Mus musculus: one gene and its partner. The main gene of each other region encodes a partner of the protein of the gene in region 2 in a complex. Links are inferred from orthologs where the notes say so. Each region holds a gene or a part of one and is shown on either strand. Other genes may lie near its edges.

Region 1 (4,352 bases), on a different chromosome or scaffold from region 2:
CCAACTGCACAGGATGTGCTTGGTCACATCCAGGCAGGAGACGCACAGGCAGGAAGGAAGTCAGGATGTATGCTTGCCCCAGTGAACCAAGGTGGAAAGTAAGGAGTTTCATGAGCCTGGCCTAACAGGCACCTGAAGGATGGAATTCATCACCATTTCTGTAAGAATCCCACATAGGGACATGGCCAGTGTCCATCTTCCTGGCCAGTATTTAATAAAGCTTACTTCAGTTGGACAACCATGGATTCCATCTTCCTCATCACAATTTTCAGGTTTAACATTCACCAGACTACTTTCCATGAAGCAAGCATTAAATATATAAGAAATTGAATATATGAAATCCAGCTTTCAACAGCCATTACTTCCACAGTTAGTTGCAGACTGAACTGTTTTTTCTCCTAAACTTACACTAAACATTAAAATATGTTTTGGAAACTAAAGAAACAGAAATTCTGTCTGTCTCTGTCTCTCTCAAGCAGGGATAACAACTGTAAAAATCAGGCTGGGTGTGGTGGCACACAGTTTTAGTCACAGCACTCACTCAGATGCAGACAGGTGCATCTCTGGGAGTTCCAGACCAATCAAAGCTACAAGGTGAGATCCTAAGTGTTGTGTGTGTGTGTGTGTGTGTGTGTGTGTATAATTTTACATTGTAAAAACTTGCAGTATACTCCAATGCTACCCTAAATAAGTCTTTAACTTAAAAAGAAAAGGAGGGGTCTGGAGAGATGGATATTTGTTCCCACTGTGTTAATAACACCTATTGTGTCTCTAGTTGTGGTGTGTTTCAGCTTTAGCATATGCATTTATCCAAGAGTTCTCTGCTTGAATATTATAAACAAAATTAAATAAAGTCAACCATAAGTTAAGAGGTGGAACAAGCAACCAATTGACAGAGAGTAAACATAGGATTATTTAAAAAAAAAAAAAAAAAAAAAAAAACAATGTCTGGGACACTGGCTGAGGAGCAGGGTCAGCTGGGTGCTTTCTCTGCTTCTCTGAGCTAGCAAACTTTCACCACAGATTCTGGCTCCCGGGTTTTCATTGGTAAAACCAAATGATTTAGATTTTGTTTAAAAAACAAAACAAAACAAAAAAAAAACCCAAAAAACAAAAAAACAGATGGCTCAGAGGTTAGAAGCACTACCTGCTCTTCCAGAGAATCCTGGATCAATTCCCAGAACACACATGGCAGCTCACAACCATCTGCAACTCCAGTTCTGGGGGATCCGACACCCTCACAAGGACATACACAAAGGCAATACACCAATACACATAAGGTAAATTAATTTAAAAAATAATTCATCCCCTAATGATTTTCTCCTTTACTTTTTTTGAGGGGGGTAATAAAAGTATAACTAAAAAAAAAAAAATACTTTCTGGGGAAGCTTTTTTTTTTTTTTTACCTAAAACTTTTTTTTTTTTTTTTTTTTGAGACAGGGTTTCTCTGTGTAGCCCTTGTTGTCCTGGAACTTACTTTGTAGGACCAGGCTGGCCTCGAACTCAGAAATCTGCCTGCCTCTGCCTCCCAAGTGCTGGGATTAAAGGTGTGCACCACCACCCCCGACTCACCTAAAACATTTTTTATACAACATATTTTGATCATATTCTTTCCCTTCCCCCAACACCTCACCGACACTCCCTGCCCTCTAACTTCATATTCTTTGTAAAAACAACAACAAAAAAGTAGAATAAAACCTTCCATTTCTAAAATAGCACCACAAAAATCTTGATACCTTAGTAGAGTTAAAACTCTATACTACAATGCCGACTTCTGAGATTAATTTTACCATCTATAAATCACAGGTCATCAATAAGATCTCTAGCTGCCAGGAGTGGTGGCGCACGCCTTTAATCCCAGCACTCCGGAGGCAGAAGCAGGCGGATTTCTGAGTTCGAGGCCAGCCAGGTCTACAAAGTGAGTTCCAGGACAGCCAAAACCAAAAAAAAAAAAAAAAAAAAAATCTAGGGTCTCAAGTTTCCCTGCTGGGTTCCTGTAATCACCATGACAATGGACTAAACAACTCGTGTAAATATTAGTTGTTAACCTAACTACTGTGTTCCAAACCAGAGGGTGGGGGTGGGGGTGGGGGAATACAAGAGGGAGGGGAGAGAGTCAGCAAAGATGGAGTGTTACTTTCACTTTTTTTGCAATGTTTGCCATTTACTATTTTAGGGCTTGCTTGACTATTTATTTAGCGGTGATGTTGTCAATTTATCACGTAATGGCTGTTGAGTCACAGATCCGATTTTAAGTCATTCGGCTGGGTTAGCAACAATTCAAAAGGTCTTGCAGTTCAACATGAAACATTAGTTTTTCGGGTCCCCTGAGGCCTCTCGGGTACCCGGCCGGTCTGGGCGGCCCGACAAGTCCCGGCTGGGTTTTCTTTAAAGTGATTAAAGTGCGTGTTCCTTATGCAAGGCTCTAGCGCGACCCGGGCCGCTAGGGCCCAGTCTGACCTGGAGGCTGCGCTCCGCCTGGCGGAGGAGGAGGCAAAATGGAGGCGGCTGGGGCCGGGTTGGGCCGGGCTGGGCGGGGTTTCGGCACAGCCGCAGAGGATCCCGCCAGGTTCTAGTCGCAGCTCCAGTCCTCCATGAGGCCGCCCTCCGGGTTACCCACAGCCCACCCAGACCGCGGCTGGCGCCCTCACGGGGAGGGGAGGTGCCAGGGACAAGGACGCCATTATGAACCTCCCCGGCGGGGGCTACAACAGCCCGCGCAGACCTCTCGAGGGGACGGGAGGGCGGACGGTGGGGACGCGGGCTGGCGCCGCTTTTCAGCCCACTGTCGCCACGCCGAGGGGCTCAAGATGTTGGCCGGGGGGCGCTTCCTCAGGCGCAGAGGCGACGTCGTGGCACCCCAGGCAGGGTCCTACCTGTCCCTTCCGCGTCCCTTTCCTCCGCCATCTTGGTGCGGAGCCGGTCGCCCGGGAGACATCCAGCACGAACCCTGCGGGACCCCGCGGGCGGAGAAAGCCCCTGGATGCACGGTGGCCCCCCGATCCCCGCCCCCACCAGAACCGAGGCCCGCGTTCTTTGGGCCTAGGGGCGTCATTTATTAACAAGGCTCCGGAACCCGCCTGGGCCTGATTGTGACTGTCAAGGACGTAGTGTGCCTTGCTTATTTCTTTATTCATTTCTTTAATTACTTATTTTATTCAGCTTTTTTTTTTCCCGGCCGTCTCAGGTGCGCCCCAGAACCGGGCGCAGACCTGGCGGCCCCTTACACGGTCCCTCCCCGAAAAGCGTCCGCCCACCCCAACCCCACCCGAGCCAGGCCTTGTGGCTCTCTGGCGTCACCCTCTCCTGAGCGGAGCCACTCTGCCAGTCACGGAACTGGAGCGAAAACGGACATGGGCCAGTGCAGGAGGAAGCCCAGCCTTTCCCCGGGATCGCAGAGAGAGAGAGAGAGAGAGAGAGAGAGAGAGAGAGAGAGAGAGAGAGAGAGGACTTGCTGTAGAAAAACATGTGCAAAATAGGCGCAAACACTGCGTCGCCAAGGCTGCAATTTCTGATACAAAATAGTGTTCTCATAGCAACAAATAAATTGACGGTCTGTTCTCAGGGATACACACATTTTGTATGTTGATGGTGCAATTTGGCATGACCTTCCGATGAGAATTTTGAGTACTGAGAAACTTGGCTATCGCGTGTTTTGTTATTTGATGGATAAGCTCAGAATACTAAGATTCTCCCTTAAATGAAACCCCCCCAAAACAAACAAACAAACAAACAAACAAAAAAAACCCAACAGTTTTGAAATGTCTAACAATGTGACTCAAATTAATATCTAGTTTTAATCTTTAATGATAATTTCATGGTATATGTGTACTTATTTAAATATTTTTGTAAAAGTAACTAAATGTAGAGGCCTTTGTTTTGTCTTGATTTTTCTTTAATATAGTTATTTATTCACTTTACATCTCAGTATTTTATTTTTTATTATTAGTTTTTATTCATCGAAGTTCTGTAATCTCAGTGAATGAACCCTCAAAGCAGGCCAACTGTACTCTTCATTAAAATATTTTTTTCTATAGGCAATAAAGATTTGATGAAGTGTCTAACTACAATTTGAATAATCAGAAAATGGTGCATATCAAGCAAATTTCCCCAGCACTCAGGAGGCAGAGGCAGGCAGATTTCTGAGTTCGAGGCCAGCCTGGTCTACAGAGTGAGTTCCAGGACAGCCAGGGCTACACAGAGAAACCCTGTCTCAAAAAAACAAAAACAAAAACAAAAACAAAACAATAAAACAAAAAGAAAGAGAAAGAAAGAAAGGAAAAGAAAGAAAAGAAAGACTTCCAAGATGAACTCAAGCATACAGTAAATTAATCACCCCAAAATATGGAAGA
Region 2 (3,818 bases):
TTTTTATTTTACTTCACTTTTCAACTAAAAATGGGTATCTGAATGGTGCATGAATACTTCTGACATTTAAAGTTTGACAATGCTGTTTTTCATTTGAATGTTATGCAAACAGAACAAAACACAGCAGCTAACAGTGTTCAGCATCACAGGTGAAAATTTAAAGCCTTGTTTGTTTGTTTGTTTGTTGCTATACCTGCCAATGGGTTGGAACCTCACTGAACATCATAATTTTGTTCTAGAATCTAAGCTCTTTGAGAAGCCAGAACTCTACTAGTTGAGTTAGGCTGCTGTTACCAGCTGAGATGTGTATGTGCGTTCACAATCCCACATCTGCTACACTCTCATTTCTTCCACTCATTTTCATTTAAATGCTTTTTCTTGAGTTGTTACCTATAAAAATTATGTTTCTATACATGTAAATGTATACAATCTTAGCTTGTATCACTTAAGTTGTAATGAGTATGAAGTTAGAACATTCTGGAAGGAATGAGCGTGGTTTCTTTTTTAATTCCTCATTTTTATATCACTTACTATTACTAGATTATATATCTTCTAAACCAAATTAGAATATTTCTTAGACATTTAAGACATCACATGATACAAGTATATTATAAAATATTCAAATGCTATAAATCTATGCTATTATTTGTTCATTTTAAGGGTACTACTTTGAGAATCATATTTTAGACTTAATACTTGGAAATTCTGACAATAATCAAACAAAACTTTAAGTTTTTAATGATTGAGAGTTAAATGAAACAAATGTGCTATGACGTGAGGGTAGAGAAGGGGGAACAGTGTCAAAGAAGCATCACCATGTAAATGTAACTCGGGTCGTGTCTTAGGATTATGTAACTAAGAGATCACATGACCTTGGGGTTTTACTTTTAATGTATAAGAAATGTATGGATGCTTTGCCTGATGTATGACTGTGGAGCTTGTGTATGCCTGGTACCCGTGGCAGTCAGAGGAGAGGATCAGATAGATCCCCTGGCCCTGAAGTTAGACGGTTGTGAACTTCCATATGGGTGCTGAGAATTGAGCCCAGGTCATAAATCTAATATATAATTTACAAATGTGTGACTGGTTGTTGTGAATTAGGGAAACATAAGATGACACAGGGTAGACAAGGGTTCCCCCAAGGGTGTAAACTACAGAAAGGAAACAGGTGGGGTTAAGGACAAAGAGAGCAGAGAAAGGGGACAAAGGAAAAGGGAGCAAGGCCCCATGTGGTCTCACCTCAGTGGGGGTGGGAGTTTCAGGAGGCACTGGCAAAGCAGAGAAGAGATGGAGCCAAAGAGAAGGGAAAGGCCTGGGGAAAGAAGAGCGTGGAACAAGGAAGCAGGAAGCCACACGATGGGCCATGGGCGGGTGAGCGGTGCTGAGACAAGAACCCAGAAGGGCAGAGAAGACAGGAGGTTGGTCCAGCACATCCAGACTCTCTAAAGAGCTTGCAGTTCACTCAGGATTTTGAAGAGTGTCCTTTCAGACTACAACTACCTTGTGGCAGGCTAGCCATAACCCTTTGTTGGGTTTATGATAAAACTTTCAGAGTTCACTTTGAGGCAGAGACAGACTGCACAGCTCAAAAGGAAATGATTTCAGCTGGCTCAGGTGACTCACACCTGTCATCTCAGAATGCCAGGGCTGAAGCAGGAGGATTGTCCTTGGCCATCCTAGGCTACACACTAAGACCTTGTACCAAGGGCAAGAGTAAGATCAACCAGACTTTTCTGATTTGGCACAGCCATAGGTACAATTTAGAATCCAAAAAGCTGTGACTAAAAGGCAGGCGTCCTCTGGCCCTGCTAAGACCCCATGTGTGTTGTCCATGCATCACAGAGAAAATCGTTTTCTTGAAGCTTCTTCACCTGGAACATCACATCAAAGGAAATGTGTCTAAGGAATGCAGGCTTTCTGTGTCAATGTTGGTTTCTAATGAGTATACACTATTGGCTCTGTATTGTGTGTAAGAGCTGGAAGTAGTTGGGCCTGGTGGTACAGGTTTGTGATCTCAGCTACTGAGAGGCTCACATGAACAACTTAGAAAGACTTTGTCTCAAACTTAAGAACAAGAGGGAGTGTGTGGATAAAGCTCTGTGGAGGAGTGCTCCCTTAGTTTGTACAGAGCTCTAGGTTCAGTACCAGGCCAAAAAGGCAGCAGTAGATACTTATTTATATATGCATGCATGCATGTGTGTGTGTGCAAGTTCACATATGATTTGATTTTAACTGTGAGCACTTTCGATTGCAATAAAATATTTTAAAATGAATCTAACAAAATCATTAGGTTGTGTTATTGTGTTTTGTTTTGTTTTGCTTTGCTTTGCTCTGTTATGACAAGGTCTTACTCTACAGCCCAGGCTGGCCTTGAACTCACTGCTCTGTCACAGTGTTCTGAGTTCTGGTGGGCATGCGCTGTCACATGTACTTTGAATTGGTCCATTTAATAACAGTTCTCTAAACACTAAACCTATTCTTGAGGCATATTTTTAACCATTCGGTCATTGACCCACTTCATAATTAAACCCCAACACTATTTGCTATGGCCGAAACATTTACTTATAAGTCTTTCTCTACTCATAACCGTGTAGGCGAACCAGCGATTAAAAATGTATTTTTGGCATCTAAAATTGTCATGTGCTATTGCCTTGTCCATTTTTTCAGCCATGATCTCCTCTTGATTTGCACGAGGTATTGCAACTTTTTTCCAACCACTGCAGGCAAAAGATACAAGAAAGATACTACTTTCAAAATATTACTTTGAAACTAAGGTAATATAATAGTAAATAAATTAAGAGGAATAAGAAGTGAGATTACTTTTATCCCCTCAAAATCACAGCAAGAAAAAAAACCTGTAAATTGGGGATATGTCTTGAAGAATTTCTGATAGTTGCCAGGGAGGGTAAAATGCTACATGGTAGTCATATTTCCTTTTTAATAAAATAACCACATCTTGGGATAATATTATTATCATAACTTAAATATATGCAGAGAATCATCTTTAATGATGATTTCAAAAATTTAAAAAGGCCGGGCAGTGTTGCCTTTAACCGAGTATTCTGGAGCCAGAGGCAGGTGGATCTCTATGAGTCAGAGGCTAGCCTGGTCTACATAGTGAGTTTTAGGCTAGCTAGGGCTACATAGTGAAACTCTGTTTTGAAAAAAATAAAAAATTTAAAAAGGAATTTCGGTTCCCAAGCATATCCAACTCCAAGGATTTTTGACACGTTCATTTTTAGAGAAGAGGTGTTGTTACTAAGTATAAACTCATCAAATATAAACAAATCAATAAATGTACTGGAAGCATGGGTGGCCTGGAGTGGGCTTTCCTATGCATGGAGAACAGCAGGGCTAAAGAAGCAAAGAAAAAGAAATACTATGTAAAATCACATTCTTACCTGAAATGTGTCTTTACTAAATGTCCAGTGTAAAATGTGCATGCTTTTATCATCAACTCTGGAGTCACCTAAAGTAAAGAAGCAATTAAACTATTAGAAATAAATAGGGCAAAGCTGAGTGTCAATAGCACACACCTAAAACCCCAGCACTGCGGAGGTGGAGAATCTCTGTGAGTTCAAGGCCAGCCTGTCTATGTGGTGAGTTCCAGGCCAGCCAGGACTACACTGGGAGACCCTGCCAAGAAAGAAAAGAGAACCAGGCGTGGTGGCTCACGCCTTGAATCCCAGCACTTGGGAGGCAGAGGCAGGTGAATTTCTGAGTTCGAGGAAAAAAGACTGGCAAGGAGCTGGGGCCAGAGCTGCCTCTGGGAATAGGAGGGGAGGAATGAACACCATTTACATATTTAGAAATTACAC

What was found.
Region 1: Fbxl13 (region 2) and Efcab2 share a complex: the UniProt entries of both Homo sapiens proteins name them as parts of the nexin-dynein regulatory complex. The link is inferred for Mus musculus from reciprocal best matches to the Homo sapiens genes FBXL13 and DRC8.

Annotation. Positions count from the first base shown.
Region 1 is NC_000067.6:178,404,658-178,409,009, reverse strand, and holds the start of Efcab2 (dynein regulatory complex protein 8), read right to left. Parts: upstream 2,993-4,352; 5' UTR 2,908-2,992; coding exon 2,877-2,907; intron 1-2,876. UniProt on the Homo sapiens protein: Component of the nexin-dynein regulatory complex (N-DRC), a key regulator of ciliary/flagellar motility which maintains the alignment and integrity of the distal axoneme and regulates microtubule sliding in motile axonemes.
Region 2 is NC_000071.6:21,618,048-21,621,865, forward strand, and holds part of Fbxl13 (dynein regulatory complex subunit 6), read right to left. Parts: intron 3,470-3,818; coding exon 3,402-3,469; intron 2,718-3,401; coding exon 2,563-2,717; intron 1-2,562. UniProt on the Homo sapiens protein: Substrate-recognition component of the SCF (SKP1-CUL1-F-box protein)-type E3 ubiquitin ligase complex.